Linked DNA regions of Anolis sagrei. The protein of the gene in region 2 purifies or fractionates together with the protein of the main gene of each other region. This does not show direct contact. Links are inferred from orthologs where the notes say so. Each region holds a gene or a part of one and is shown on either strand. Other genes may lie near its edges. The genes, in order: ZFC3H1, MPHOSPH6, EXOSC7 and C1D.

What was found.
Region 1: the proteins of MPHOSPH6 (region 2) and ZFC3H1 purify together in Homo sapiens (affinity purification with mass spectrometry; 3 studies listed by BioGRID and IntAct, with this or other methods). This does not show direct contact. The link is inferred for Anolis sagrei from reciprocal best matches to the Homo sapiens genes MPHOSPH6 and ZFC3H1.
Region 3: the proteins of MPHOSPH6 (region 2) and EXOSC7 purify together in Homo sapiens (affinity purification with mass spectrometry; 4 studies listed by BioGRID and IntAct, counting the BioPlex papers as one, with this or other methods). This does not show direct contact. The link is inferred for Anolis sagrei from reciprocal best matches to the Homo sapiens genes MPHOSPH6 and EXOSC7.
Region 4: the proteins of MPHOSPH6 (region 2) and C1D purify together in Homo sapiens (co-immunoprecipitation; 3 studies listed by BioGRID and IntAct, counting the BioPlex papers as one, with this or other methods). This does not show direct contact. The link is inferred for Anolis sagrei from reciprocal best matches to the Homo sapiens genes MPHOSPH6 and C1D.

What each region holds. Positions count from the first base shown.
Region 1 is NC_090025.1:144,272,506-144,280,662, forward strand, and holds the start of ZFC3H1 (zinc finger C3H1 domain-containing protein), read right to left. Parts: upstream 3,199-8,157; 5' UTR 3,024-3,198; coding exon 2,399-3,023; intron 1-2,398. UniProt on the Homo sapiens protein: Subunit of the trimeric poly(A) tail exosome targeting (PAXT) complex, a complex that directs a subset of long and polyadenylated poly(A) RNAs for exosomal degradation. The RNA exosome is fundamental for the degradation of RNA in eukaryotic nuclei.
Region 2 is NC_090028.1:21,294,062-21,302,324, forward strand, and holds the start of MPHOSPH6 (M-phase phosphoprotein 6), read right to left. Parts: upstream 3,259-8,263; 5' UTR 3,166-3,258; coding exon 3,115-3,165; intron 1-3,114. UniProt on the Homo sapiens protein: RNA-binding protein that associates with the RNA exosome complex. Involved in the 3'-processing of the 7S pre-RNA to the mature 5.8S rRNA and play a role in recruiting the RNA exosome complex to pre-rRNA; this function may include C1D.
Region 3 is NC_090026.1:77,391,967-77,400,050, reverse strand, and holds the start of EXOSC7 (exosome complex component RRP42), read right to left. Parts: upstream 3,162-8,084; 5' UTR 3,083-3,161; coding exon 3,026-3,082; intron 1-3,025. UniProt on the Homo sapiens protein: Non-catalytic component of the RNA exosome complex which has 3'->5' exoribonuclease activity and participates in a multitude of cellular RNA processing and degradation events.
Region 4 is NC_090021.1:156,521,216-156,528,810, reverse strand, and holds the start of C1D (nuclear nucleic acid-binding protein C1D), read left to right. Parts: upstream 1-4,350; 5' UTR 4,351-4,403; exon of another isoform or gene 4,404-4,451; intron 4,452-7,595. UniProt on the Homo sapiens protein: Plays a role in the recruitment of the RNA exosome complex to pre-rRNA to mediate the 3'-5' end processing of the 5.8S rRNA; this function may include MPHOSPH6.

The DNA.
Region 1 (8,157 bases), on a different chromosome or scaffold from region 2:
TGGTAGTGTGAACTCAGATAATCCAGTTCAAATCAGATACAGTAGATTTTCTGTGAAAACCTGGATTATCTGACAATGTAAAAGGAGCCTTAGTCAAGTCTTCTTAAACTTTTCCACTCAGAACCCTTTTATATCCCCATTTTTTTTCATGACAAAAGTATAGAAATTAGGTATAAAAATCAAACATTTCCTGATAACCGATCAGCACTTGCATGGCTTGCTAAACAGAAGACAGAGGGCCCTTCCACAAAGCCATATAACCCAGACCATCAAGGAAGAAAATCCCACAATATCTGCTTTGAACTGGGTTATAATAACAACAGCAACAACAACAAAACAACAACAAAACTTTACTTGTACCCCGCCCACCATCTCCCCAAAGGGACTCGGGGCTTCGCACAGAAGTGCCACATGCAGTTTAAAAACAATGGCATAAGCATAAACAACAGCACATAAAATCTCACTGGTAAAATTATAAAAATATGAAAATTATAACGTTCCTAAAATGCAGTGGAACCTGCGGGCTGACTATCTGCCATAACAATCAGTCAAAGTGCAGACCAGCACTATCATGATTCATCATGTTGGCCATGGACTGCTCAGGATCAAAGGCCTATCTGAAGAGCCATGTTTTTAGACTCACTCGGAAGGTCTGAAGAGTGGGGGCTAATCTAATTTCTTTAGGGAAGGTATTCCAGAGCTGGGGAACCACCACTGAGAAGGCCCTCTCTTTCATCCCCACCAACCATGCTTGAGATGGTGATGGGACTGAGAGAAGGGCCTCCCCAGCAGATATTAATGCCCACGATAGTTCATAGAAAGAGATATGGTCTTGAAGATAGGTTGGACCGAAAGTGTATATATTCCATATATGCCATATATTCCAGTTCAAAGCATAAAATGTGAAATGTTATTCAGCTGTGTGGAAGGGGTCTGAGAATCCTCTGGAACATGGCCATATAGGCTAGAAAACTCACAGCAACACAGACTGATTTCCCTTTTTATGGAGTACAACAGAAGCATCTTGTGCAGAGCCCACTGCACAACTGATTTGCGTAAATGTCTGAAACAGACACTAGAGGCCCTTCCAGACTGGCCCTATATCCCAGGATTTGACTGCAGCTTTTCTGCATTAAACGAGATTATATGAATCCCCACTGCCAGAGAATCTGGGAAAAACAGAAAACCTGGGATCATATCCTGGGATACAGGGTCTGTCTGGGAGGGTCCCAAGTCTGCACTGCTGGAGAATCTGGGATAAACAGAAAGCCTGGGATGGGTCTATCTGGAAGGGCCCCAAGTCTGCACTGCCAGAGAATTTGGGCTAAATAGAAAGCCTGGGATTAGATCCTGGGATATAAGTGCTGTCTGGAAGGGCCCCGAGTCTGCACTGCCAGAGAATCAAGGGGCCTTTCCGCAAAGCCCTCATATAATCCAGTTTAAAATGGAAAACCAGGAAGACAGCCGTGTCTGGAAGGGCCCTGAGAGAAAGCAACTTGCTCATAGTTACTCAATGGATTTCCATGGCTGAGTGAAGAAGTGAGCCCTGGGGACCTTCCACAAAGTCCTACATCCCAGAATATCCAAGGCAGAAAATCCCAAACTATCTGAGTGTGGACTCAGATAATCCAGTTCAAAGCAGATATTGAGGGATTTCCTGCCTTGATTTTCTGGGATACAGGGCTGTATGGAAGGGCCCCGGGATAAACAGAAAGCCTGGGATCATATCCTGGCATATGGGGCCTGTCTGGGGGCCCTTCCACACAGCCCTATATCCCAGATTATCCAAGGCAGAAAATTGCAAACTAAGTGTGGACTCAGATGATCCAGTTCAAAGCAGATACTGTGGGATTTTCTGCCTTGCTATTCTGGGATATAGGGCTGTGTGGAAGTGCCCTGGGATAAACAGAAAGCCTGGGATCATAACCTGGCATATAGGGCCTGTCTGGGGGGCCCTTCCACACAGCCCTATATCCCAGAATATCAAGGCAGAAAATCCCACAATATCTGCTTTGAACTGGATTATTTGAGTCCACACTTAGGTAATGTAGGATTTTCTGCCTTGCTATTATGGGCTGGGTGGAAAGGCCCTGGAAGAACCTTTGGTGCTTCCAACATTGAGCTAAGGGGTTGGGGCCTGGGCCCAAGGTTTAAGAAGCAGTGTTCTGGGCTTCAGATCCCAGAATCCCTGGCTGTTAGCCAGGCTGGCTCGGGCTTCTGGGCATTGAAGTGCCCAGAAGCTAGAGGAGCAAACATTGAGCTAAGGGGTAGGGGGTTGGGGCCTGGGCCCAAGGTTTAAGCATTGTTCTGGGATTCAGATCCCAGAATCCCTGGCTGTTAGCGTTGAAGTGCCCAGAAGCTAGAGGAGCAAAGGCGAGTGACTCTGTGCGAAGGATACATTTCCGAGGCGAGGGTTCCCTCCAGCCGTATCCCCCTCCTCCTCCTCCGGGGGGCCTTCCAGGGAGGCAGGGCCCTCGGCTCCTGCCCCAGCGGCCCCCGCCCCGGTAGGCCCTGCCTCGGAAGCGGAACCGGTCCAGCGCGTTGTGGCTGCGCTCCCAGAAGGAGAGCCGGGGTCCGGCGTCGGGGTGCGGGTGAGGGCCGGGCGGCAGCCGCGAGCAGGAGGCCGAGGAGGAAGCGGAGGAGGGCGGCGGCGGTTGCGGGTGGGGGCGGAAGGCCTCCTTGGGGCGGTAGCCTCCTCCTCCGCCACCTCCGCCTCGGCCGTGGAGGTGGCCCAGTTCGGGAGGAGGCCGGTGGCGGAGGTGGGCGAAGCGGCGGGACGACGAGGAGAGGAAGGGGGAGCCCCGTAGGTCCGGAGGAGGCCTGCGCCGGGCGTAGGGGCCTTTCGCGCCGTCATCTCTGCCTCTGGGCTCGGTGGGCCCGCCGCTGCTGCTGTTGTTGTCGTCGTCGCCGTCGCTGATTTCTCCGTCCTCCAGCTCGCCTTCCTCCTTCGGCGAAAGGTCCTTCGGCGGTGCCGCCTCAGCCGCCTCCGCCACTGTCTTCTCCTCAGCCGCCGGAGCCGCCATTAGCCGCCTCGCCTGACTAGGCCCCAACAAGGCGGCCGCCCGCTTGCCAGGACGGCGCTCCTCCAATCCGGGGCCTTTCCCCTCAGAGACCCCTCGAAGTTGAGCGACGGCCAACTCACCGCTGCCACCAACACCCTGCAGCTTCGCCTTTCGCGGCTCTCGCGAGACTTGGCTTCGGCTCCTCTTTCTCCCCCCCCCCCCCCCCTTTCTTTCCTCAGAGAATCGAAAGCGGGGGGAAAGAAACAGCATAAAGGCGAGGGGCGCCCAGGGGCATGACGGGAAGTGTAGTTCCTCCGCACTCCGCTGTAGTGGGTTCATAAGAGGTCGCTCGCTTGTCAAACAATACAAGCGAGGCCGACAAGAGCAATAACAACCGTAGAACAGATAACAACATATTAAACATCAACATCAAATAATAGTGAAACATTAGTACAAATCAAACTTGGGCCCTCCAGGTGTTTTGGACTCCAACTCCCACAATTCCTAGCGGCCTCAGGCCCTTTCCTTTTCGGGGAAAAGGAAAGGGCCTGAGGCCGCTAGGAATTGTGGGAGTTGGAGTCCAAAACACCTGGAGGGCCCAAGTTTGCCCAAGCCTACTATAGACTAAGCAAAACATAACTAAAATGCACATTTTGACAAATAAGCATTTCAAACAAGATTCCCAGAGCAACATCCAAGGCAGCTATATAATGAGACTTGAGTAGCCACACATTTTGGTATCTACAGGTCCAAACTATATAAATAAAAATGTAATTTTCATTTGTGGGATTAACATAACTGACATACCACTTGACGAATTGCTGCCAAATTTGACCACAAGACACCTACTAACTCAAGGAGTGACCATCACTTTAAAAAATGATTTTGTCATTTGGGAGTGGCAGTTGCTGGGATTTATAGTTCACCTACAATCAAAGAGCATTCTGAATTCCACCAATGATGGAATTGAACCAAACTTGGCACACAGTTCTCCCATGACCAACAGAAAACACTGAAAGGGTTTGGTGGGCATTGACTTTCGAGTTTGGGAGTTGTAGTTCACCTACATCCAGAGAACACTGTGGACTCAAACAGTGATGGATCTGGACCAAACTTGGCACAAGCATTCAATATGCCCAAATATGAACACAGATGGAGTTTGGGGGAAATAGACCTTGAAATTTGGGATTTGTAGTTACTGGGATTCACAGTTCATCTACAATTAAAGAGGATTCTGGAACTCACAAACGACAGAATTGGGGCAATCTTCCCATACAGAACCCCCATGACCAAAAGAAAATACTTAAGGCCATCCAGTCCAACCCCCTGCCAAGAAGCAGGAATATTGCATTCAAATCACCCCTGACAGATGGCCATCTAGCCTCTGTTTAAAAGCTTCCAAAGAAGGAGCCTCCACCACACTCTGGGGCAGAGAGTTCCACTGCTGAACGGCTCTCACAGTCAGGAAGTTCTTCCTCATGTTCAGATGGAATCTCCTCTCTTGTAGTTTGAAGCCATTGTTCCGTGTCCTAGTCTCCAAGGAAGCAGAAAACAAGCTTGCTCCCTCCTCCCTGGGGCAAGAAAACGTAATCCTCCTGACAAAGAGCCAGCCAGCCATAGATATAGATAGATAGATAGATAGATAGATAAGATTCACACACACACCACAGATATAGTATCATAGATTTGAAAGGGACCCCTAAAGAAGGACAATTCTATGTTGCATTTTCCAGAGTAGGCAAACCACACAATCTCCACATCAACTCTGACAAAGAAACAACAAGAAATACTGTTTACCCACAAGCATCAAGAAATTACATATATTAGGAGCCAACACTTTCTCATTACTTTATTTTCCAGATCAACAGACTGGGCCACAGCAACGCGTGGCAGGGGACAGCTAGTCCCTAATAATAACATAAGTAAGGGAAGTGATAGGGCTTCATTACAAAAGCAGTCTTGACTCAAGGGGTCATTTCAGTGGATGGAAAAAGGAAAAACTCACAATTTCTAGACTCTGTGCCCTTTGAGTCCATTTTTTGCCAGGCATCTTGTGGCTTGGTCAACTTCAAAGCTTTGTTTATCATGTTGCATGTGTGTTCGCAGCCTCCCATCACTGCTAGTCACAGCCGTGACTGTTTTCAACCTCAGTTTTCCTACTGGCATTATTATTCATATAATTGGACTCTGTGGTGGTGCAATGGGTTAAACCCTTGTGCTGCTGAACTGCTGACCTGAAGGTTGGCAGTTCAAATCCATGAGACGGGGTGAGCTCCTGTCTGTCAGCTCCAGATTCTGCCAACCTAGCAGTCTGAAAAAATGCAAATGTGAGTAGATAAAAAGGTACTGCTTTGGCAGAAAAAGGCAAAGAGACGCTCCAAACAATCTTGCCAGTTACACAACCAGGACAATTCTCATTTTCAAGCTCCTCAGATTGAAAATGGAGAAAAGTACCTCCCCAGAGCCAGAGATGATCACTGCCTCCAGAAGCCGGAAATGAAAGGAGAAGCCTCTGCCTTGGTTTGTGTTTGTATGTCTCATTGTATATGATTGTAAAGAAGGCACTGAATGTTTGCCTATGTATGTAAATGCTGTAATCCACTCCAAGTCCCCTAGGGGAGAAGGGTGGGATATAAATAAAGTGTATTATTATTATTATTATTATTATTATTATTATTATTATTTGATATACAAAAAGATTAGTTCACAGCAAACAAAATCACTATGCTGGCTTTTGTATTGATCACACGTTGGACACTTCCCAGGTGTCTAGGACTATTTGATGTATCAGCAAATAATGCGTGCAGATCCGAGTAGAGTGGGCTCTTGCAGCTGACAGATGGTAATGTTGTCAGCGCCAATTGTTTTTAAATGCAGGCCAAGGTCTTTAGACACTGCACCGAGTGTGCCGATCAACACTGGGACCAATTTATTAACTTGTGCCAAAGTCTTTGCAGTTCAATCTTTAAACCCTCATATCGTGTCAGCTTTTCCAGTTGTTTCTCTTCAATCCTGCTGTCGCCTGGGATTGCAACATTGACGATCCATACTTTGTTTTTTAACACGATCGTGAGGTCAGGAGTATTGTGCTCTAAAACTCTGGCAGTCTGAATTCAGAAGTCCCAGAGTAGTTTGACTTTCTGAAACTTTTTCAGGCTTGTGATACCACCCATTCTTTGTCACAGGAAGATGGTATTTGTGGCAGTGTATATTATTATTATTATTATTATTATTATTATTATTATTATTATTATTGGGTTGTAAGAGACTCCAGGACCATATAGTCTAACCCCCTGTCATGCAGGAACACACAATAAAAGCACCCTTGACAGATGGACATCCAGTCTAGGCTTTAAAAAGCTTAGACAGATGCTGTTAGACTGCAACTTCCAGCAATCCTTGCCTGCGCAGCCAACAATGAGGAATACTAGTAGTTGCAGTCTAACATCTCAAGCCTCAAAGGTTCCCATCAGGAGGTTCTTCCTAATCTTTAGATGTATTTTCTCCCACAGCAAATGGAATCAGTTGCTCTGTGTCCTAGTTTCCAGAACAGCAGAAAACAAGCTTACCTCCTCTTCAGTGTGGCATTCTTTCACATATTTAAACATGGCTCTTGTGGACTTAAATTTCTCAAAGGACTTAAATTTGTTTAGAACTGTATAGGCTTGTTATAGAGACCTAGGCTTTCCTTGCTAGAGTCCACATATGTAGATATAGTACACAGGTTTTCTCTACGCGCAATATTCTCCAATTAATATTTGTTATGTAGTAAGGCCTACTTTACCCAAACTATTCCTGAATTGACATGTTTTCTTGGTAAGATTTCTTCAGATGGTGTTTCTTTAGTGGGTTTTCATGGACTAGCAGTGGATTTTGAATTCTGGTCTCCAGAGTCATAGTCCAACACTCAAACTACTATAGCATGCTGGCTTTTTGTAATCACTTCCAACATTAGATTTTAGAGTTGAAGGGGAGGGTAATCACGGTCTTCTATAAAGATGCAGATAAATATTTCTAGTTCATAATAACCATATTATTTTATTTAAAACCTGCAGCACTTTCTCTACCAATTGGTCAACCAATTGCCCTGCTAGTCTAGAACTAATTTATCTAGGTTCAGTTCTGGACCCATCTACACTGCTATTGTAATGCAAATTGAACTGCATTATATGGTCAGTTTAAATGGGCCCCCTCTCTCTTTAGATCTTAATTACTTTGGAAAAGATTTAATACAACCATAAACTGATACATACTTTTCCTATACACTTTTGTTCCAAGGCAAGCTCTATAAGGGGCTTATGTTCATTGCAAACCTATGCCTTTAGCTAAAACAAGCAAAATGTGGTTTCTAACTTTTCAGATAGTTACATTTGTAGCTGGATTTTTTGTTTATGTTGCATTTCTTCCCATCACCTTTGCAGAGGGACAACAGTTTATTAGCACTAGGGATATAAATCTTCATTGTTACAAGAATAAATAATGTTACCATTTTCTTAGTGTTGTGGCAAAAGAATTGAGAACTGCACAGTTTTGAAAACTAATCATAGTTTGAGATTCATTCTGTGCAAAATAAATTACACAAACGCACACAAATTGCATGGTATTTTCTGTGCATAATTGTTTTATGTGCAAAAGCCCACATGTATTTCTGGTGTGCAAAAATAAGTCCTCAACTGTGATTATTTTCACCACATAGGATTCTCATCATGGTTGCCTAACATCAACACTCCCCTGGTAACCACTGGTAAAAGTATTTTCTAATATTCTTTCTATCTCTATACAGTCTATGCCAGGGGTCCTCAAACTAAGGCCCAGGGGCCAGATGCGGCCCTCCAAGGTCATTTACCCAGCCCTCGCTCAGGGTCAACCTCAGTCTGAAATGACTTGAAAGGACACAACAACATCCTTATCTCATCAGCCAAAAGCAGGCCAACACTTCCCATTGAAATACTAATAAATTTATACATTTTAAATTGTTCTTCATTTCAATTATTGTATTGTTTTTAAGGGTTTTTTTGCACTACAAATAAGATATGTGCAGTGTGCATAGGAATTCATTCATGTTTTATTCAAATTATAATCCGGCCCTCCAACAGTTTGAGGGACTGTGATCTGGCCCTCTGTTTAAAAAGTTTGAGGACCCCTGGTCTATGCC
Region 2 (8,263 bases):
ATCAGAGATGGGCACTAAGAAACGTCACTGACCAAAGACAGTCAAATTCACTTCCAAATGAAGATCCTGAACAAGTGGGATTTACTTCCAAGCAAAGACAGCGAGCCTTCGCCCTCAATCACAAAGAACTGCTTTCAATCCTCGGGTTTGGAGAGGAAATGGACGGAAAAGAGAGAAAGGAGCATTTTGCTCTGCATGTGCCTCAAAGGCGCCGCATCCTGAAAGATGGAGATACAAAGAGAATGGCGCTAATGCAAAACCGGAGCAAACAAACCATGAAGGCCCGACGATATTGAGTTATACATATTTAATGAATATTTATATTTTAAAAAATTAATGGCAATCTCGACTCAGATGTTGTTCTCTGAGAAAACGGAGCGATCATCAATCTCGCCACTGCGTTCTTCCACTGAGTGATGTGTTACATTATAGGACAGGAACGGAGTCCATTAACCGCCGAGCCGAGACTAATTCCACTTTGGGCTCAGCACCGGATTTGCAAATCCAAGGGCAATGGTGAGGTCAGGGCTCTTGTTAATATCTCTCGCTGGACCATCTCCACGTGACTACGCTGATGGGTTGGAGCAGAGAGGGAGAAATTAAATGAGACGAGGAAACCACAAGTAACATTAGCACATTGGCAGGTCCTGCCATTGGAAGTGGAGGCAAAACTTGGCCAAAATAAGAACGACCTTTAGTTCCAATTAAAACAAGGACGACCTTTGGTCTGAAGTAAACATCTTAAGCTAAAATGTAAAGGAAGAGGAGAATTTGATTGTGCTGGTAAGAAGTATGTCCCATGAGGAACATGATGATGATGATGAAAAAGGATGACCCAAACAATTACCGTCCAGTCAGCCTCACGTCGATACCAGGCAAGATTCTGGAAAAGATTGTTAAGGAAGTGGTCTGCAAACACTTAGAAACAAATGCGGTCATCGCTAATAGTCAACATGGATTTATCAAAAACAAGTCATGCCAGACTAATCTGATCTCTTTTTTCGATAGAGTTACAAGCTGGATAGATGCGGGGAATGCTGTGGATGTAGCGTACCTGGATTTCAGTAAGGCCTTCAACAAGGTCCCCCATGACCTTCTGGCAAACAAACTAGTCCAATGTGGGCTAGGCAAAACTACAGTGAGGTGGATCTGTAATTGGTTAAATGGACGAACCCAAAGGGTGCTCACCAATGCTTCCTCTTCATCCTGGAAAGAAGTGACAAGTGGAGTGCCATCAGCAGGGTTCTGTCCTGGGCCCGGTCCTGTTCAACATCTTTATTAATGACTTAGATGAAGGGCTAGAAGGCAGGATCATCAAGTTTGCAGACGACACCAAATTGGGAGGGATAGCCAATACTCTGGTGCCCCCGGTGGTGCAGTGGGTTAAAGCACTGAGCTGCTGAGCTTGTTGATCGAAAGGTCGCAGGTTTGATTCCGGGGAGCGGCGTGAGCTTCCGCTGTCAGCCCTAGCTTCTGCCAACCTAGCAGTTCGAAAACATGCAAATGTGAGTAGATCAATAGGTACCGCTCCGGCGGGAAGGTAACGGCGCTCCATGCAGTCATGCTGGCCACAAGACCTTGGAGGTGTCTACGGACAACGCTGGCTCTTCGGCTTAGAAATGGAGATGAGCACCGCACCCCAGAGCCAGACATGACTGGACTTAATGTCAGGGGACTACCTTTACCTTTACCTTAGCCAATACTCTAGAGGACAGGAGCAGGATTCAAAACGATCTTGACAGATTAGAGAGATGGGCCAAAACTAACAAAATGAAGTTCAACAGGAACCAATGCAAGGTACTCCACTTAGGCAGGAAAAACGAAATGCAAAGATACAGAATGGGGGACAATGCCTGGCTTGAGAGCAGTACGTGTGAAAAAGATCTTGGAGTCCTCGTGGACAACAAGTTAAACATGAGCCAACAATGTGATGCGGCGGCAAAAAAAGCCAATGGGATTTTGGCCTGCATCAATAGGAGCATAGTGTCTAGATCTAGGGAAGTCATGCTACCCCTCTATTCTGCTTTGGTTAGACCACACCTGGAATATTGTGTCCAATTCTGGGCACCACAATTCAAGAGAGATATTGACAAGCTGGAATGTGTCCAGAGGAGGGCAACTAAAATGATCAAGGGTCTGGAGAACAAGCCCTATGAGGAGCGGCTTAAGGAGCTGGGCATGTTTAGCCTGAAGAAGAGAAGGCTGAGAGCAGATATGATAGCCATGTATAAATATGTGAGAGGAAGCCACAGGGAGGAGGGAGCAAGCTTGTTTTCTGCTTCCCTGGAGACTAGGACGCGGAACAATGGCTTCAAACTACAAGAAAGGAGAGTCCATCTGAACACGAGGAAGAACTTCCTGACTGTGAGAGCTGTTCAGCAGTGGAACTCTCTGCCCCGGAGTGTGGTGGAGGCTCCTTCTTTGGAAGCTTTTAAACAGAGACTGGATGGCCATCTGTCAGGGGTGATTTGAATGCAATATTCCTGCTTCTTGGCAGGGGGTTGGACTGGATGGCCCATGAGGTCTCTTCCAACTCTTTGATTCTATTATTCTATGTCTGTTTTTATGATTCTATGTCTGTTTCTGGCGTGGGCTGGTCCATGAGGTCACAAAGAGTCGGAGACGACTGAACGAATGAACAACAACACAACTCCCAAATTACAAAATCAATCCTCCCCCAACCTTACTAGCATTCACATTTGGGTGTATTGGGTATTTGTGGCCAGTTTGGTCCAGTGAATGAAAATGCACCCTGCATATCTGATATTTACATTATGATTTATAACAGTAGTAAAATGATTGTTACGAAGTAGCATTGAAAACAATATTATGGTTGGGGGTCACCACAACATGAGGGACTGTATTAAGGGGTCACGGCATTAGGAAGGTTGAGAACCACTGATGTAGGGCTTTAAGTGGGAGGGGCCTAGCGACTCTTCCCGAGACCACTCGGCTCCTCTCCCCGCACCTCGCCTCCTGCGGCCGAAGGGCTTCGGAAGTGGGAGGGGCTAGCCGACGCTTGCCGAAGCCGCTCGGGAAGAGCCGCCTAGACCCCGCCCACTCCCGAAAGGGCCATGAAACCGGTTCTTTCTCCCCCTCCCGCCGCCCCATTACCTTCATGCGGAGAAGGTTTTTGGACAGTTTGCTCTTCACGTCGCGAGCCATGGCCGAAAGAAGGTGTGGAGGGCCCGCCTGGACTCGTCACGTGGCGGCGCGGCGTCTCTTCAGACTCGCCTTCGCCTCTCTTGCGACTGCGCATGCCCGGGGTGCGTCAATCGTACGCATGCTCAGTTACAGGCAGTGAAGCTGCTCTTCCGGCCCTTTCAGAACCTGGCAGGGAGCATGCGCATAAGCTTTAACTAGACATGCCCTACACTGCTGGATTAATGCACTTTGACTGCCGTGACTCAAGGATTGTGGGAGTTAAAAAACTCAAAAATGACAACAGCAAAACAGCAGAGAGGAAACAACCAAGCACAGCTTCACACCTCTCAACAAAAGATTCTCCCTTCAATTGCTAATGAAGGTGGTCAGTTGAAACATTCTCACCCAGCTCCAGCAGAGAAGAGCTCTTTGCCCCACCCCAGTCATTCCACAGATATATTAACCCATTGTCCTAGTTCCAAACAGACCTCACTACCTCTGAGGATGCTTGCCATAGATGCTGGTGAAACGTCAGGAGAAAATGCCTCTAGAATATGGCCATATAGCCCAAAAAAACCCCACAAGAACCTATTGATTCCAGCCATGAATGCCTTCGACAATACATTGTGGGAGTTGTAGCTTTACAGGCCTTTTAGCCTTCGCTACCACAGAGTGCTGGTGGCTCACCAAACTCCAAATCCCAAGATTCCTTGGCATTGAGTCCAGGCAGCAAAACTACAAGGTATTGTCGAAGGCTTTCATGGCCGGAATCACTGGGTTGTTGTAGAGGCATGTTCTAGAGGCATTTTCTCCTGACGTTTCGCCTGCATCTATGGCAAGCATCCTCAGAGGTAGTGAGGTCTGTTGGAAGTAGGAAAATGGGTTTATATATCTGTGGAAATACCAGGGTGAGACAAAGGACTTTTGTCTGCTGGAGCTAGGTGTGAATGTTTCAACTGACCACCTTGATTAGCATTTAATGGCTTGGAAGTGCCTGGGGGGAATCTTTTGTTGAGAGTGATTTGATTTGCCTGATTGTTTACTCTGTTTACTTGTTTTGCTGTTGCAATTTTTGAGTTTTTTAATACTGGTGGCCAGATTTTGTTCATTTTCATGGTTTCTTCCTTTCTGTTGAAATTGTCCACATGCTTGTGGATTTCAATGGCTTCTCTGTGTAGTCTGGCATGGTGGTTGTTGGAGTGGTCCAGCATTTCTGTGTTCTCAAATAATCTGCTGTGTCCAGGTTGGTTCATCAGGTGCTCTGCTATGGCTGATTTCTCTGGTTGGAGTAGTCTGCAGTGCCTTTCATGTTCCTTGATTCGTGTTTGGGCATTGCTGCGTTTGGTGGTCCCTATGTAGACTTGTCCACAGCTGCATGGTATACGGTAGACTCCTGCAGAGGTGAGAGGATCCTTCTTGTCCTTTGCTGAACGTAGCATTTGTTGAATTTTCTTGGTGGGTCTGTAGATAGTTTGTATGTTGTGTTTCCTCATCAGCTTCCCTATGCGGTCAGTGGTTCCCTTGATGTATGGCAAGAACACTTTTCCTCTGGGTGGATCTTAATTGTTATTCTCTGTACACCCAATTGTTGATCTGGTTTGCGGATGACTAGGACATCTTGAAAAGGCAGTCTTCCTTCATAGACTTCATTGTCCCACTGAAAGTAGCTGATGGTGAGGCAATGGTGAAACAATGAATTCTACGAACAGAAAGATGGAGTAGCTATGGGGAGCCCTCTCAGCCCGGTCATAGCTAATTTCTACATGGAACACTTTGAAAAACAAGCCCTGGAGACAGCAACAAAAAAGCCCACGATATGGTTCAGATATGTGGATGACACTTTCACCATTTGGAGCCACGGAGAAGAAGAACTCAACAGGTTCCTGGACCATCTGAACAGCATCCACCCAAATATCCAATTCACTATAGAAAAAGAAAATGAAAGAAGACTGTCTTTTCTAGATGTCCTAGTCATCCGCAAACCAGATCAACAATTGGGTCACACCGTCCACAGAAAACCCACACACACAGATAGATATCTACATAAAAACTCCAACCATCACCCAAGTCAAAAAAGAAGCACCATTAAAGCCTTGGTAGACCGTGCAAAAAGAATCTGCGAACCCCACCTCCTCCAAGATGAACTGAACCACCTCAACTGCGCTCTCCAGGCCAATGGAGACTCCACCTCAGACATCAGAAGAGCTGCAAGACCAAGAACAAGCCATGAGAGTAAAGATGAAGATCCACCCAGAGGAAAAGTGTTCTTGCCATACATCAAGGGAACCATTGACCGCATAGGGAAGCCGATGAGAAAACACAACATACAAACTATACCTATTGAAATGCCTTAAAGGCACAGGTTCTCTCTCTAGTTCTCTCTCTCCAGTTCTCTCTCTGGCAAAGTTACCAATACTCATTCCCTTCTTTTCCAAACCAAGTTTGCCAACTTATAGTACAGTGGTTCTCAACCTTCCTAATGCCGCGACCCCATAATATATTACTAATAATATTACAGTATAATTGATATAGTGCAATATAGCAATATTTAAAACTGATATTGTACTATGTTAATAATATATTGTATGTATATATACCTTGTAAGCCGCTCTGAGTCCCCTTCGGGGTGAGAAGGGCGGCATATAAATGTCATAAATAAATAAATAAATAAATAAATAATACAGTTCCTCATGTGGTGACCCCCAACAATAAAATTATTTTTGTTGCTACTTCATAACTGTATTTTTGCTACTGTTATGAATCGTAGTGTTAATATCTAATATGCAGAATGTATTTTCATTCCCAGGACCAAATTTGACACAAATACCCGATACCCCCAAATTTGAATATTGGGGGTAGGCGAGTGGGTTATTTTGTCACTTGGGAGTTGTGGTTGCTGGGATTTATAGTTCACCTAAAATCAAAGAGCATTCTGAACTCCGCAAACGATAGAGTTGAACCAAACTTGGAACACAGAGCTCCCATGACCAAGAGAAATTACTGGAAGGGTTTGGTGGACATTGATCTTGAGTTTTGGAGTTGTAGTTCACCTACATCCAAAGAACACTGTGGACTCAAACAATGATGGAGCTGGATCAAAATTGGCATGAATGCTCAATAATGTGAACACTAGTGGCGTTTGGGGAAAAGAGACTTGACATTTGGGAGTTGTAGTTCCTCGGATTTACAGTCCACCTCCAATCAAAGTGCATTCTGAAACCCACCAATGATAAAATTGGACCAAACTTCCCACACAGAACCCCCATGACCAACAAAAAATACTGTGTTTTCTGATGGTCTTTGGCGACCCCTCAGACACCCCCTCACAACCCCCCCAGGGGTCCCGACCCCCAGGTTGAGAAACACTGCTATAGAAGGACTTAGAATCATAGAATCATAGAGTTGGAAGAGACCTCATGGGCCATCCAGTCCAACCCCCTGCCAAGAAGCAGGAATATTGCATTCAAAGCACCCCTGACAGATGGCCATCCAGCCTCTGTTTAAAAATCTCCAAAGAAGGAGCCTCCACCACACTCCGGGGCAGAGACTTCCATTGCTGAACAGCTCTCACAGTCAGGAAGTTCTTCCTAAAGTTCAGATGGAATCTCCTTTCCTGTAGTTTCAAGCCATTATTCTGTGTCCTAGTCTCCAGGGCAGCAGAAAACAAGCTTGCTCCCTCATCCCTGTGACTTCCTCTCTCATATTTATTCATGGCTATCATATCTCCTCTCAGCCTTCTCTTCTTCAGGCTAAACGTGCCCAGCTCTTTAAGCCGCTCTTCATAGGGCTGGTTCTCCAGACCCTTGATCATTTTAGTCGCCCTCCTCTGGACACATTCCAGTTTGTCAACATCTCTCTTCAATTGTGGTGCCCAGAATTGGACACAAGCGCAACTTGAGCCATTTCGCAAAGCACGGATAAATCCGAACCAGTGCAAAGAGGGAAACATCACAGTCTATTTGTTAAGCACCGAAACAAGTGTGATCCGGCTGGAAGGGTACAGTTTCCTGCAATTTCTGAGGCCAACCCAAGGCTCCCCTGGCTTTAATAAACATTGATGCTGCAGGCTTTTTGCAGAGTGATTGATTCCCAACGTTTATGGGTTATTTTAGGCAGTCGGGATTTTTCTCTCTTCCTATCCAAAGGGAAAGGTGCAGATTGATTAAACTGTCATTTCTTCCTTTCTTTTTCAGATTTAGTTGCTGAAATATAACCTGGTATTTTTAACAGCGCAATCTGTTTAAAGAGACAGCTTCTCCATAAAGCAAAGCCAGGTTTTTTATTGTTCAAGCAGAAAACCAAAAAGAAATGAGCCAACAATGTGATGTGGCGGCAAAAAAAGCCAATGGGATTTTAGCCTGCATCAATAGGAGCATAGTGTCTAGATCTAGGGAAGTAATGCTACCCCTCTATTCTGTTTTGGTTAGACCACATCTGGATTATTGTGTCCAGTTCTGGGCACCACAATTCAAGAGAGATATTGACAAGCTGGAATGTGTCCAGAGGAGAGCAACTAAAATGATAAAAGGTCTGGAGAACAAGCCCTATGAGGAGCGGCTTAAGGAGCTGGGCATGTTTAGCCTGAAGAAGAGAAGACTGAGAGGGGATATGATAGCCATGTATAAATATGTGAGAGGAAGCCACAGGGAGGAGGGAGCAAGCTTGTTTTCTGCTTCCCTGGAGACTAGGACGCGGAACAATGGCTTCAAACTACAAGAGAGGAGATTCCATCTGAACATGAGGAAGAACTTCCTGACTGTGAGAGCCGTTCAGCAGTGGAACTCTCTGCCCCAGAGTGTGGTGGAGGCTCCTTCTTTGGAAGCTTTTAAACAGAGGCTGGATGGCCATCTGTCAGGGGTGATTTGAATGCAATATTCCTGCTTCTTGGCAGGGGGTTGGACTGGATGGCCCATGTGGTCTCTTCCAACTCTTTGGTTCTATGATTCTATGATTCTAAATGGAGCTGCCTCGAGTGCACTCCATTACGGGGAGAAATCGCTCCTGAAAATGAAAGAAGCGCCCAGTTGACCTAAAGGGAAGTTCTCTTTGGAGGACACACCTTCCTGAATCCCATCCCATCGCTGTCATGGTCTCCTTTACTAGGCTCCTGGCTGTTGCT
Region 3 (8,084 bases), on a different chromosome or scaffold from region 2:
AACCTAAGAAAGTGGGAGTCCAAAAGTGGCAGGTAAAACTCCAGAACCTCAATCAATGACTGATAACAGATGACAAACTCTCTCCTGGGCACAGAGAAGACTGGGCCACTTGGAAGGAGCTGAATGGACTGTGTTCTGGCACCACAAGATGCAGACCTAAGCTTAAGGAGTGGGGCTACAAAGTGAAGTCCACAACATGTGAGTGTGGAAAAGAGCAAACCACAAACCACGTACTACAATGCAGTCTGAGCCCTGCCACATGCGCAATGGGGGACTTTCTTATAGTGACACCAGAGACACCTGAAGTGGCCAGCTTCTGCTCAAAGGAAATTTAGCATAATGCCAAGTTTTTAACTTTGTGGTTTTTAAAATACATTATAACTGTATTCTTGGGCCCCCTGGTGGCGCAGCGGGCTAAACCGCTGAGCCCCTTCACTTGCTAACCAAAAGGTTGGCAGTTTGAATCTGGGGAGCAGGGTGAGCTCCAACTGTTAGGGCCTGCTTCTGTCAACCTAGCAGTTCAAAAACATGCAAATCTGAGTAGATCAATAGCAGGAAGGTAACGACACTCCATGCAGTCAAGCTGGCTACATGACCTTGGAGGTGTCTATGAACAATGCCGGCTCTTCGGTTTAGAAATGGAGATGAACACCACCCCCCAGAGTTAATGTCAAGTGAAACCTTTACCTTAACTGTATTCTCTATTTGCTTCTGACACGATGTATAAAAAACTAGATCTTGTTTGGTCTTGGAGACTAGTAACGTCAACTCTGCTTAGTACTTGGATGTGAGAACAATAATGAATAATTGAATATCAGGTGCTGTAGGCTATATTACAGAGGAAGAAACTGGGGGAAACCTATCTCCGAGGATTCCTTGCCTAAGAAATTTAAAAGGGTTGCCAGTGAGGCCTGTTCTACACTGTCATATAAAATCCAAATTATCTGCTTTGAACTGGATTATATGACAGTGTAGACCAGGGGTCTTCAAACTAAAGCCTGGGGGCCGGATACGGCCCTCCAAGGTCATTTACCTGGCCCTTGCTCAGAAACTACTTTTTTTTTGTTGTGTCATGAGCGACTTGAGAAACTGAAAGTTGCTTCTGGTGTGAGAGAATTGGCCGTCTGCAAGGACGTTGCCCAGGGGACGCCTGGATGTTTTGATGTTTTACCATCCTTCTCGGAGGCTTCTCTCGTGTCCACGCATGAGGAGCTGGAGCTGATAGAGGGAGCTCATCCACGCTCTCGCTGGATTCGAACCTGTGACCTGTCGGTCTTCAGTCCTGCTGGCACAGGGGTTTAACCCACTGTGCCACCGGGGGCTCCTTGAAAGTACATGACTTGAAAATACACAATAACAATCCTATCTCATCAGCCAAAAACAGGCCCACACTTCCCATTGAAATACTAATACGTTTATATTTGTTAAAATTGTTCTTCATTTTAATAACTGTTTTAAAGTGTTTTTGCACTACAAATAAGATTTTTATTTATCGTGTCAGGGGCAACAAGAACATTGTATTACATTTCTAACAGAACAAAACAAACAAAAAAAACACAGAGTTTGCAAGCTTGGTAGTTGATTAAATGTCCTTTGACCAGTATCTGGCCACTTGGAGTGCCTCTGGTGTTGCCGCAAGGAGGTCCTCCATTGTGCATGTGGCAGGGCTCAGGTTGCATTGCAGCAGGTGGACAGTGGTTTGCTCCTCTCCACACTCGCATGTCGTGGATTCCATTTTGTAGCCCCATTTCTTCCCATTGAAATACTAATACGTTTATATTTGTTAAAATTGTTCTTCATTTTAATAATTGTTTTAAAGTGTTTTTGCACTACAAATAAGATTTTTATTTATTGTGTCAGGGGCAACCAGACCATTGTATTACATTTCTAACAGAACAAAACAAACATCTCGTGGTGCCAGAGCGCAGTCTGTTCAGCGCCTTCCAAGTCGCCCAGTTTTCTGTGTGCCCAGGGGAGAGTCTCTCATGTGGTATCAGCCATTCGTTGCGGTTCTGGGTTTGAGCCTGCCACTTTTGGACTCTTGCTTGCTGAGATATGGACAGTGTGCATAGAAATTCATTCATTTTTTTCCTAATTTTTTCCCTAATTATAATCTGGCCATCCAGGTTTGAGGGACTGTGACCTGGCCCTCTGTTTAAAAAGTTTGAGGACCCCTGGTGTAGACTCATATGTTGTTGTTCATTCGTTCAGTCGTCTCCGACTCTTCGTGACCTCATGGACCAGCCCGCACCAGAGCTCCCTGTCGGCCGTTACCACCCCCAGCTCCCTCAAGGTCAGTCCAGTCACTTCAAGGATGCCATCCATCCATCTTGCCCTTGGTCGGCCCCTCTTCCTTTTGCCTTCCACTTTCCCCAGCATAATTGTCTTCTCTAGGCTTTGCTGTCTCCTCATGATGTTGCCAAAGTACTTCAACTTTGTCTCTAGTATCTTTCCCTCCAGTGAGCAGTCGGGCTTTATTTCCTGGAGGATGGACTGGTTGGATCTTCTCGCAGTCCAAGGCACTCTCAGCACTTTCCTCCAACACCACAGCTCAAAAGCATCTATCTTCCATCTCAGCCTTCCCTAAGGTCCAGCTCTCACATCCGTAAGTTACTAAAGGGAATAACATGGCTTTGACTAGGCGGATCTTTGTTGCCAGTCTGATGTCTCTACTCTTTACTATTTTATCGAGATTGGACATTGCTCTCCTCCCAAGAAGTATGCGTCTTCTGACTCATATAATCCAGTTCAAAGCAGACAATCTGGATTATATGCCAGTGTAGAAGGGACAGGCAGCTTGAAGCACATCAGGAGGGTATGTAGCTCGTTCACAATAGAGAAACACATATAATGGGCTTTAAAAATAAGCATAGGAGTGTGAATACGCAACCAGCAGAGAGGAAAATGCACTCTGCACATGCTCTGACACTTTCAGTTATGAAGCGGCCTGACGGGCAGTCAGTTTAAACGCTGAAGTAGGCGAGGGACGCCTTCCCCGGCCCTGCCTCCTCCCCGCGGCCGTTACCTGGACGCCGTGAACGATATACACTTTCTCCGCTTCGCTCAGCACCACCGAAGCCATGGTGAGGCAAGAGCCAGCCTTCCGCGCAGCCTCAGAACGCCCCCAGTCTGCCCGCCTACTGCTTTCACTGCGCCTTCTAATGACGCAAGGCCCCGAACCCTGTACTCTGCTGGCGCGTGGGCGCGATTTTCCTGCGTCATCGCCCTGAGTGATTCATCCTTACTCCCGCGTTCCAGACAGAGAGGGCTGATCAGAGCTGCGTTGTATGTCGCCTAGGAATTTCCCGCCTCTGCTGCAGTCCTTCCTAGGAAGGGAGTGATGGCACTAGATCAGGCATGGGCAAACTTCGGCCCTCCAGGTGTTTTGGACTTCAACTCCCATAATTCCTAACAGCCCTTACGGGCCTGCAAGCTCAACTTCAACATAAGAAGGGTCCACTCTGTACTGTCTCTCCACATTTGCAGTTTTGACTTTTGCAGATTTGATGACTGGCCGACACTCACTCGGTGCCTCAAATGTTAGTCCTGTTTCTGGGTATATTTGACCTGCTGATTTCAAGAATGGTACTAGTTTCCCCCTATCCATTATAGTGTTTGAGATACAGAACAAATGCCACATGCCAGTCTCCATCTGCTCACCTATAGAAAATCATGATGACAATATCTAAGGAAATAGAGCTGATGTCTATCCATTGCAATTTTCTGAATCAGTACCCTAAATAACCCCAACGAATGTGGAGGGGTGGCTGTATTTCTTGCTTCATGCTCAGAGCCCTTTTGGAAAACCACGTCAAAGAACAATATAAAAATGTACAAAATGCAAAGATGCATACTTTCAGAAATTATACAGACATGATGGTGGCTTACATGCCTTGGTCTCCTTTTTAATAGAATTGTGTTATAAGCAATATATATATAGCATGCATATTGTGCATGAATGAGATGTGAGATTATACTCATGTTTTTTTAAAAGTATACATTTGCCCCCAAAATAAGTCCCACTGTTTTCAAGAGAACTGTCAGTGAAGTATGCAGTAAGATTCTAACTGATTGGCCTGAATGAATGAGTTACAACTAACAACTGGGAAAACTTAATTTGTTCATAATGGCACATGTATATTGTGAATAGGTGTTGTCACTGCTTTGTATGCAGCATCCGTTTTGAGTAGATGTTGTGTATTTTGATGATTCTAGAGTTAGCATTCTAGGATTGTAACAGGTCTGTAAAACTGCTGTAAAACGTTGTCAGATTTAGAGCTCTGTATGAGCATACTAATGACACCCAACTATTCTTTAACATTTTGGTATTATTCTATTCTGAATGAAAAGTAATGCCTCCACCTTCATAACTCCTCAACAGATGGCAGTACGTGTATGCGGCAGATACTGGCTTGTTCAGTAGACTGTCCTCTATAGTTCCATTTTGGCAGGAAGCCTTAGCATTGAACAGTTGTGAGAAGTACGGAACCCTGCGCAGATGGTCAGTCAATGCAACTTAAGCAACATGCAGTCATTGAATTCTTGACAGCAGAAGGTGTCACCCCAATGGAGATTAATCAGAGAATGCAAGCTGTTTATGGTGATTGTGTTGATGTGAGTACTGTGCGTCATTGGGCAAGTAAGTTTAAAGACCTACTGTGCTATTGCACGCTGGGCCTGTGCATAAGACTGTAGACAGGACATAAATTCCGTGTGCCCAACGGGAAACCGGGGCTGCCTCAGATTAAAAGGCCCTTGGATTTCCTTAAAACAGAGTCTTCAGATTGCTTAAAGGTTCAATAAAGTTCTTTATTATTGATGAAAACAAACAGGTACTTCAAGGCTTTCTTAACAGTCTATTGGCTCTCAATCTTGTCCACAGGGAACAGGCAATATCTTCATAAACTGTATTTTAACAAATTGGGAAATCCTTAACTTCTAATCTGGGCAGTCTGTCTTTATCTCTGTTGGCGTGGAACCCCTGCACCCGGTACCAACTGCTTCTGGCTTCCGCGAGTGACCTTTACCAAACAGAGCTTTGTAGACTTCCAGAGGAAAAAGGAGTTCAGGTTTCAGTGATGGCTGGCTGAAGTCTCTCAGCAAAGGAGCTGTAAGCCTGTATGGTCCTCGGCCAAGCTGTGGGCTGTATAACCCCGGCCAAGCTGTAGGCTGTATATCTCCCCAGCCAAGCCATAGAAGACGAAGCTTTCTACAGGAGATCTTGGTATTATGTCCTGCATGGAAAGCTTCTCTGTGTGGACTGAACCCAAAAAGGCTCCTATTCCCTCAAAAACCCAAAAAAGGGGGCAAGACCAGGCAGGCATGTAGCCGGGGGGGGGGGGGGGGGGGGCTTGGGGGGCTTCAGCCCCCTCTCCTGAAATTCTGATGGTGCTCCGCGAGAAGGCCTTACTGGTACATTATTAAAACTGTTATGATTATTCATATCATGATCTGATCACCGTGCTCAATATATCCCATATGCATGGGGGTATTGGGGTAACAATACAAAAGATTTGCTAGGGTAAACCCTCTTTCACTCAGACTCAGCCCCCTCCCCGAACCAAACTCAGCCCCCCCCCCCAAACAAAATCCTGGCTACGGGCCTGAGACCAGGGAACCTAACTATAATTGACAGGTGGCTTGCCCTATGATTGCAGCCAAAATAAGCCACCTATCTGCAGAGTCCCTGAAACTCAGGACTATAACAAACATTAAATGCAAAGCAAACAAAATTGGAGCTCCTGGTGCAGTTGTACCTGCACAACCTACAACAACCTATTAGTAAGTTGGTTCTCAACTGTTTCAAAAAACACTTTTCTTCTTCTATGATGTTGATTATTATTATTATTATTGTAAAATTCCAGCTCCTAGAACTTCCTAGCAATGAGGCATGGTGGTCAAAGCGGTGCCCCGTTGCATTCATTCCACATTTCTCCTTCTCACTCAACTTTGCCTCCTGCTTTGTTTGCGTCCGCGAGGGAAGTAATAGTAACCAGGAAGGGTTGGTTTCACGTCGGGTTACGTCACGTGGGGGCGCGCAGCCAATCGGAGCGAGCCAGGAGCCGCGCCATGATAGCAACAATGCGGTTGCTGCAGAAGCCAGCCAGAGTGAAGGGAGGGAGGGGGAGCCCGGAAGTGAGCGACGCCGACGGTGGCCCCGCCCCCTGGCCTCGCCTCCCTCAGCGTGGCTCACTTCCGGGCTTCCTCCCCCTCAGTGTAGAACGCGAATGAGGCGGCAGTCAGAGTGAAAGGGAAGAGCCAAGCCTTCGCCGCCTCCCTCCCTCCCTCCGGGCGGGCGGGCTCTCCCCGGCTGGGCGGATGGAACGCCGCGCTGGGAGGTGGAAGGTCGACCCTGGCAGGGAAGCGCGGGCCCCTGGCGGAGTGGAGGCGGCCTCCTCGGCGGCGGCAGAGCGCGTGGTGCTTCCTTCACGGCAGTCTGGGTAAGGTTTCCGCGCGCGCCTCTTCCTGGAAGGGAGGGGAGGGAGGAGGAGGAGGAGGGAGAAGCAAGGGCTCCCTTCACCCCTTTCTTGATCTGCTGTGGAATCCTCGGGGTTGTGTCTTGACAGGGTCTCTCTCCATAGCCTCTCCTACTCACGAGGGCTGGTGCCTCACCACATTACAGCAACCCAGGATGCTATGGCAGTTGGAAGTGGAGTCACACCGCATTCATTCTACCGTGTAGATTCCTGGCACACGCCCACAAGGGGGCAATTTCATTTCTAAGCCAATTTAGAAATGAGTTACTAACAGTTAATTTCTTCAGTTCTTGTGGGTTTTTTCGGGCTATATGGCCATGTTCTAGAGGCATTTCTCCTGACGTTTCGCCTGCATCTATGGCAAGCTTCCTCAGAGGGTGCCTTGCCTTTCTTACCGTTCTAGAGGCCTCATCCACAGTGTGTATATGTGTGTGTGTATGCATATATCTATATAAATAAAAATGTAATGCTCGTTTGTGGGATTAACATAACCCAAACCATAACCACTGGACGAATTGACACGAAATTTGGACACAAGACACCTATCAGGCCAACAAGTGTCCCATCACCCATAAACACACACACACACACACACACACAAAACCCCAGCGGAACAGACTTAAAAACCCAAAAAATACACCATATATACATACATTCATATATTTATTCATTTACTTCGCTTGTATACTGCTCTTCTCAGCCCTTAGCCGACTCAGCGGTTAACAACAATTCCAATATACACAGTAGAAAATCATTGGACATTTAAAAGCAAAGCGATTAAACATCAAACATCAATACATCAATTTAGCAAATCCATCACGTCTCATCAATAAAATCAGAATCCAGTCTCCATATCCATTTTCCGTGTTCCAATAATCAGTTGCACTGCCTAGTTGAATGCCTGTTCGAACAGCCAGGTCTTCACTCTCCTCCGGAATGCCAGTAGGGAGGGGGCCGATCTAATATCCATAGGAAGGGCGTTCCACAGCCGAGAGGCCACCACTGAGAAGGCCCTGTCTCTTGTCCCCGCCAGGTGTTCAACATGCACACACTCATAGACACACAAATACACACATACATATATACATGCACACATATACATATCCACATGCATACATATATAGACACAAATATGCATATAGACAAGCACACACATATACACAATATGCATGTACACATATAAATACACAAATATATACACACACATATATAGACACACATATATACACAAATATATACACACATGCACAATATGCATGTACACTTATAAACAAACAAATACATAAATATATACACACATATATACACCCACATATATTTATGCAAACACACATATATACACAGATATATATATATGCACACACAAAACACATATACACAGACTGGGCCACAGCAACGTGTGGCAGGGGACAGATTGTGTGTGTGTGTGTGTGTATATATATAGATGCTTTGTGCATAATGACGAAAACGAAAGAACCAATGAACAAAATCACACCAAATTTGGCAACAAAACGTCTCACAACACAAGGTGTGACCATCACTCAAAAAAAAAAATAAGATTTTGTCATTTGAGAGTTGTAGTTGCTGGGATGTATAGTTCACCTACAA
Region 4 (7,595 bases), on a different chromosome or scaffold from region 2:
TGCCACCTTCATTAGCATTTAATGGCCCGCAGCTTCAAGGTCTGGCTGCTTGCTGCTTGGGGGAATCCTTTGTTGGGAGGTGTTAGCTGGCCCTGATTTATTCTTGACTGGATTTCCCTGCTTTTTGAGTCTTGATCTTTATTTACTGTTCTGATTTTAGAGTGTTTTAATGCTCTAAAATCAGAACAGTAAATAAATAAAATGACATTCTGGCTAGTTTTTGATTAATTTTCTTGTGTATCAGTTCACTTCTCAATCTGTGGGTCTTGATCTCAAATTATATATATATATATATATATATATATATATATATATATATATATTTATATACCGCCCTATTTTCCACATATGCAAAATAATACAAAAACATACTATATAAATCAAAAACATAGACATAAACTGTTAACACAACATATACATTAAAATCAATTTAAAACCAGTTACGCTCTCTTCTTCATGGAAGGTAAGCTGCCAGGGGCCTGGACTATTAGCTCAATGTTGGGATCATGAGAAATTTGGTGACAATAAAAGGCTTCTGAACCATCCATTTAGACAAATCCGTTAGCAGCAACACAAAATATTTACAGTGGACTGTACTCCACAAAAAGAAAAACCTGCCAGTTTAGCAAGCCTTGCAAATGCTGACTTATCAGTTAATGTTTGATTTTTATACTTATTTTATATACTTTTATACTTGGGGTCATGTAAAAATTTATTGGGTGAAAAGAAATCACGAGTGAAAAAAGTTTTTTAAAAAGAGCTCAGTGACAGAACTAATCAAACTCTTAAATCAAGGTATCACTGTACAGGCAACTTCTTTTGATTTGTGCTAAGTCTCATTATCTCATTGTTGATCTTCCTCTCTTTCCTGCTTTTTTAAAAAAGAAAAAAAGAGAGAAAATGCTTTAATCAGAAAGCACCGTATAATCATTGGGGGGAAAAAATAACCCTAAAGCAAAATTGTGCTTATTTTATTCTGTTTACTTTTGCATTTAAATTTTGATGAGAAACACTCTTTCATAAAAGGGGTGGAGAGAGGTCATTGGGAGATAGAGGATCTTTCTAATCTAATTAAACCAAGAGGAAATACAGTCATTCGACTCAAAAGTTAAAAGGAGGTCATGAAGGCAGGCAGTTTTCTGCACTCTTTGATTATAGTGCAGTATTATATAGATATTGTCTGCAAAATAGAAATGTTAGCCTCTCAGTGTGGCATGCAGATCCTCTCCCTTTCTGATCATCACATGTTAAACTACTGTGTCATTTTCTCTTCTCTCGTCTTCCTTCTCAGTATTTGGTACTGAGAAGTACCTGGCACTGAGAAGCTGTGTGTAATGATCTGTACACACAAACTTCGTGTGTTGCTCTTTTCTTGGAAAAGTCACTGTTTTGGACTGCAGCTCCAGAATCCACAAGCAGGCATCCCAAACTAAAGTTCCCAAGTTCTGGTTTTGGATGGTATTATTCTAGCAACTAGTCTCACAATTAGTCTCACTATTCATTCAACCAGAGACACGCTACCCTTAGCTGTAGCTGCTTTTGAAAGCATGGAGAAATATATTTAGATGTCATCAGCATATGTTAGAGACCCTAAATTGGGTCTTCTTAGGTCCACATCATGGGAACACGTAAGGAAGGAGACAGTCCCCAAAAAAGATCAAAAAACAAGGTTTATTTTAGTTTCTTCATGAAGAAGACGGACAGCCTGGCAGCATACGCAGATGCCACCCTTCAAGTGACTGCCACGCTCCCTTGGCTTTTGTACACCGTTATATAACCTCAAGTAAACAAGAACATGTTTTTTGGTCATGGAAAGTATTCTCTTTCTAGCCCCTCTCCCTTGACCTTTTGATGGAAAGTACCTTCTTGTACCTGCAAACACTGTGCTTAACCACAACCTTTGGCTTAACCACAACACAACTACTGCCTATGTAGGTTTGAACTTTGTATGAACTCTACATGTCACATCTTGTTTCTTAAAAACATTTTCTTCCGTGTTGCTCTTTTTCTACAGAGAAACGGTATATTTCTCTTTTGCTGTTAATTTCATGCAAAGCCCCTTGCTTAGCATTTGGAAATTTTGCTCAAAGACCCTTTCACATACAGATAACACCCTGTCACATGCCCATGGATGATTTCTCTCAACAGTTTCATGTAAATATCAAAAAGCATTGGGGATAGAATGGCACCTTGTTGGATGCCACATAAAAGCGCCTTTTTTGAGGAGCAACTATCCCAAGCACCACTATCTGGAACTTGTCTGAGAGGCATGAGTGGAACCACTGCAGCACTGTGCCTCCGATTTATTTATCGTATCAGAAGTGAACCAAGGGTACAGTTGTACTAAAAGGTAAAGGTTTTGCCCTGACATTAAGTCCAGTCATGTCCGGCTCTGGGGGTTGGTGGTCATCTCCATTTCTAAACCAAAGAGCTAGTGTTGTCTGTAGAAACCTCCAAGATCATGTGGCCGGCATGACTGCATGGAGCGCCGTTATGTTCCCGCCAAAGTGGTACTTATTGATCTATTCACATTCGCAAGTTTTCGAACTGCTAGGTTGACAGAAGCTGGAACTAGCAGTGGGAGCTCACGTCGCTCCCCGGATTCGAACCTGCAACCTTTCAGACAGAAAGTTCAGTAGCTCAGTGTGCCACCCACTGTGCCACCAGGGGCTCCATTTAATACGGTTGTAATGTATTTAAAAAAATAAGTTTAAAAACTTGGCATTATATTAAATGCTTGTTGACCAGTAGCTGTCCACTTGGGAGTGCCTCTGGCATTGCTGTAAGGAGGTCCTCCATTGTGCATGTGCCTCCAATACCTTATAACATGACAAATGGGAGAAAACAAGTGACAAAAATTATCAGAGAACATTATCTGCCATTTATGAATAAAAACATCTGCAATCAAGATGGCATCAGTCTTAGTGGGACCCAAGAAATAACACCAGGGTCTATCACACTAGAGCTGAAAGAGTAGGACAAGTGGATGCATGCCTCCACAACCTTGTGGTTGCCTTCTTCCTACAGAATTCTGGGGTTTGTAGTTTAGTGAGATCCAGGGCCTTCAAATGCTCTCTGGCTGAGCATTTTAAGGCCTCCTCTCTAAACTACAAGTCCCAGAATCCTTCAGAAGGCAGCCACAGGGTTCAGAAGGCATCCCCCCACAGATGGGATGCAGCCTCTTTGCCTATTTCTCCATTATCCAGCGGATATTGGCAATCTGGTCTCTCGTTCCTCTGCCTTTTCTGAACCCAGTTTGTACATCTGGCAACTCTCTCTCCATGTACTTCTGGAGTCTTCCTTGCAGGATCTTGAGCATTACCTTACTGGCATGAGAAATAAGGGCCACTGTATGGAAGTTTGAGCAGTCTTTCGCATTTCCCTTTTTTGGTAGAATCATAGAGTTGGAAGAGACCTCATGGGCCATCCAGTCCAACCCCCTGCCAAGAAGCAGGAATATTGCATTCAAATCACCCGACAGATGGCCATCCAGCCTCTGTTTAAAAGCTTCCAAAGAAGGAGCCTCCACCACACTCCGGGGCAGAGAGTTCCACTGCTGAACGGCTCTCACAGTCAGGAAGTTCTTCCTCGTGTTCAGATGGAATCTCCTCTCTTGTAGTTTGAAGCCATTGTTCTGCGTCCTAGTCTCCAGGGAAGCAGAAAACAAGCTTGCTCCCTCCTCCCTGTGGCTTCCTCTCACATATTTATACATGGCTATCATATCTCCTCTCATCCTTCTCTTCTTCAGGCTAAACATGCCCAGCTCCTTAAGCCGCTCCTCATAGGGCTTGTTCTCCAGACCCTTGATCATTTTAGTCGCCCTCCTCTGGACACATTCCAGCTTGTCAATATCTCTCTTGAATTGTGGTGTCCAGAATTGGACACAATATTCCAGGTGTGGTCTAACCAAAGCGGAATAGAGGGGTAGCATTACTTCCCTAGATGTAGACACTATGCTTCTATTGATGCAGGCCAAAATCCCATTGGCTTTTTCACACGTACTGCTCCCAAGCCAGGCATTGTCCCCCATTCTGTATCTTTGCATTTCGTTTTTTCCTGCCAAAGTGGAGTATCTTGCATTTGTCACTGTTGAACTTCGTTTTGTTAGTTTTGGGGATATAAGTTGATTTTTTCCAGTCTGATGGCCATTCTTGAAGAGAACCATAGGCTTGGTTATAGATAGGATTGGAACCCTTTCTCCCATTTGAAGGCCTTCCCTTGAACCCAAACCCCTCAGACACGGTGGAGAAAGCGCCAAGGGAAAGGAATGGACAACAATAGGCCTTCCTGTCTGCTGAGGCCCTGCGAGGAAGGAAGCGCCTCCGCGTACGTCATTCTGGCCACGCCCCTTACGTTAGCCACGCCCCCTCACGTTCGCTCTCCTCCACGCCACCGGAAGGAAGGTAGGAAGCCTCTGGGCAGAAAGGAAGGAAGGAAGAGAGAGGGCGCAGGTTAGTTGATGCTTCTCTCTTTTGGATGGGTCTCTGGGGGGAGAAAGCCTTGTTGGGGTCCCAGCTCTTCAGCGACACCGCCCAGCAAGGCAGGCGGGTTATTATTGCTGAATGATCGTCCATCTATTCTGAATGAGCCACTTTTAAATATAAAAACAAAACAGAAACGCAATCCCCTCCATGGTTTCATTGTAACTATGCTGCCATACAAAATCCAGATTATCTACTTTGAACTGGATTAAAAGACAGTGTAGACTCAGATAATCTACATTGCTTTGAACTGGAGTATCTTCTTTATTAATCTGGATTATATGACCTTCCACATGGATGTATAAAATCCAAATTAAACTGAATTATATGGCAGTGTGGATTCAAGGTTCTTCCATGTTGTTGTTCATTCATTCAGTCACTTCCGACTCTTTGTGACCTCATGGACCAGTCCACGCCAGAGCTCCCTGTCAGTCGTCACTTCCCCCAGCTCCTTCAAGATCAGTCCAGTCACTTCAAGGATATCATCCAACCATCTTAGAATCATAGAATCATAGAATTAAAGACTTGGAAGAGACCTCATGGGCCATCCAGTCCAACCCCCTGCCAAGAAGCAGGAATATTGCATTCAAATCACCCCTGACAGATGGCCATCCAGCCTCTGCTTAAAAGCCTCCAAAGAAGGAGCCTCCACCACACTCTGAGGCAGAGAGTTCCAATGCTGAACGGCTCTCACAGTCAGGAAGTTCTTCCTAATGTTCAGATGGAATCTCCTCTCTTGTAGTTTGAAGCCATTGTTCCGCGTCCTAGTCTCCAAGGAAACAGAAAACAAGCTTGCTCCCTCCTCCCTGTGGCTTCCTCTCACATATTTATACATGGCTATCATATCTCCTCTCAGCCTTCTCTTCTTCAGGCCCTTGGTTGGCCCCTCTTCCTTTTTCCTTCCACTTTCCCCAGCATAACTGTCTTCTCTAAGCTTTCCTTCTCATGATGTGGCAGTGTGGATTCAAGGTTCTTCCATACAGCCATATAACTCAAAATATCAAGGCAGACAATGGCAGTGTAGAAGGGGCCTTAATCCTAGGAAAGGGAGCAGAGGATAGATGGCAGGAAGACCCTGCAGGGAGTATATCTCCACTAGAGAATGAATGTATGTTCAGAGGAAGAAGAATAAAATAAAATAAGTAACCTTTAATAACAAGGAGAAAGACATTGATATTTTAGCAGATTTGCCCACAATTCATTCCATTTTCTCATCACAGCTATGCTGAATGAAAGAACTAGCCTGATTGACTTTACAGTTGCAAGGCTACTTAATGCTAATCAAGCTTGCCAATTGCAACATTCACACTTGCTTCAAACAGAAAAGAGTTATTTCTCCCCACTCCCAGACAGTCCACAGATATATACACACTCCACTTGCCTAATTTCCAACAGACCTCTGAACAAATCTCTGAGCGTGCCAGCCACAGATGGAGGTGAAACGGCAGAAAATGCTGCTGAAACATGGCCATACAGCCCGAAAAACTCAAAGCAAGCCAACTGCATTGGAGCTTCAGTGGTCCAATTTTGCAAGATCATGTGGGGGTGTCAGCACTCGCTTGCTTAGTCTTGGGGGAGGGAGCTTGAACCCCCTCTCCCCATATGGTCCATCTAATGCCTCCTAGAAACCCTTTATCAAGATGTAGGGCCCTTCCACACAGCCATATAACCCAGAATATGAAGGCAAAAAATCCTACAATATTTTCCTTCAACTGGGTTACCTGAATCGACACTGCCGTATATACCAGTTCAAAGCAGAAAATGTGGGGTTTTATTTAGCTGTGTGGAAGGGACTGTAGTGTATTTTGCAAGAACGAAGGGAAAGCTCAGCTCTTTGTTTTTTCCCCAGGATTAAAAATAATAATTTTAAAAAGATGCTCGATCAGGCCATCTCATCCAGTGTTCTATTATGATAACAACTTACTAGGGGCCCTTTCACACAGCCATATAACCCAAAATATCAAGGCAGAAAATCCCACAATATCTGCTTTGAACTGAATTATCTTGAGTCCATATAGTCATATATCCCAGTTCAAATTTATTTATTTATTTATTTGGAGATTTTATATACTGACTCTCTCACCTTCAAAGAGGGATTTGGACCGGTTCACAACATGTGTTAACATACAAAAAATATACAATAACAACACAATGCCACTTCATTATACGATTAAAATGTCAGCACCATACACATTAAAACATTATCATCGCAGTTAAAAGAGCAGATATCAAAGCAGATAACTTGGGATTTTATTCAGCTATGTGGAAGGGGCCATGGTATCTCTTCTAGAAAGTCAACAGAGAAGGCTTGGAAACAGCTGTGCTCCCTTTTACCCTCCCTGGCATTAAGTCTTTATCTCAAAGTGGAGATCCCATTTGGCTGTGGAGTTGGATTCAGGATAGCAGAAAAGATTTCTGTTTACCCAAAAGAGGTTTGTTTGTTTGTCCTGAATATATTGGACTAAAATGCTCAAATGAACATACCCAGTGTAGATAGAAGTGACCATATGGTTCTGGGAATCTGGAAATTATAGTAGGAGAAAGGAATTGTCTAAATTTTGCTGGTTTTAGCTGGTTTTTACTATCAGACGATTGCTAGAAAAGGTTTCAAAGGAAGGTCTTTGAGACATGGGATACCATACACAGTGATCTGAGGTTGCTAACTGGGTATGTACAGTTCATGTCAGTCACCTTCAGTTCCATCTCCCAAGGCTCCTCTTTAAACTATATGAAAATGTATCAGATGTTGGACCCCACAATAACAAGAACAACACATTTTAATTCTTACCACCTCTCCCCAAGGCTTCCCACAAGATAAGATTTTTGCAAAGTCTATTGTATTGATCTGTTTTACACAGATGTGATGCCATACATTTCTGAATTGCATGCTATAATGTTCTGCACAGTTGCACGACAGTATAATTTTTACGTTGAGTTTTGGTGGATTGAGAAATATACTCATTCTGACCTTGCTTTTGTATTTCTTGGTATTCTAGAAGTTGATGAGACATTACCTGTCTGATAATTGACAGACATAATGGTAATTCACTGAAATAAAAGGAAACTAGATGTAGAGAGGTCTGGAGTCATTTTCAAGGATAGCTAATCCCCTGG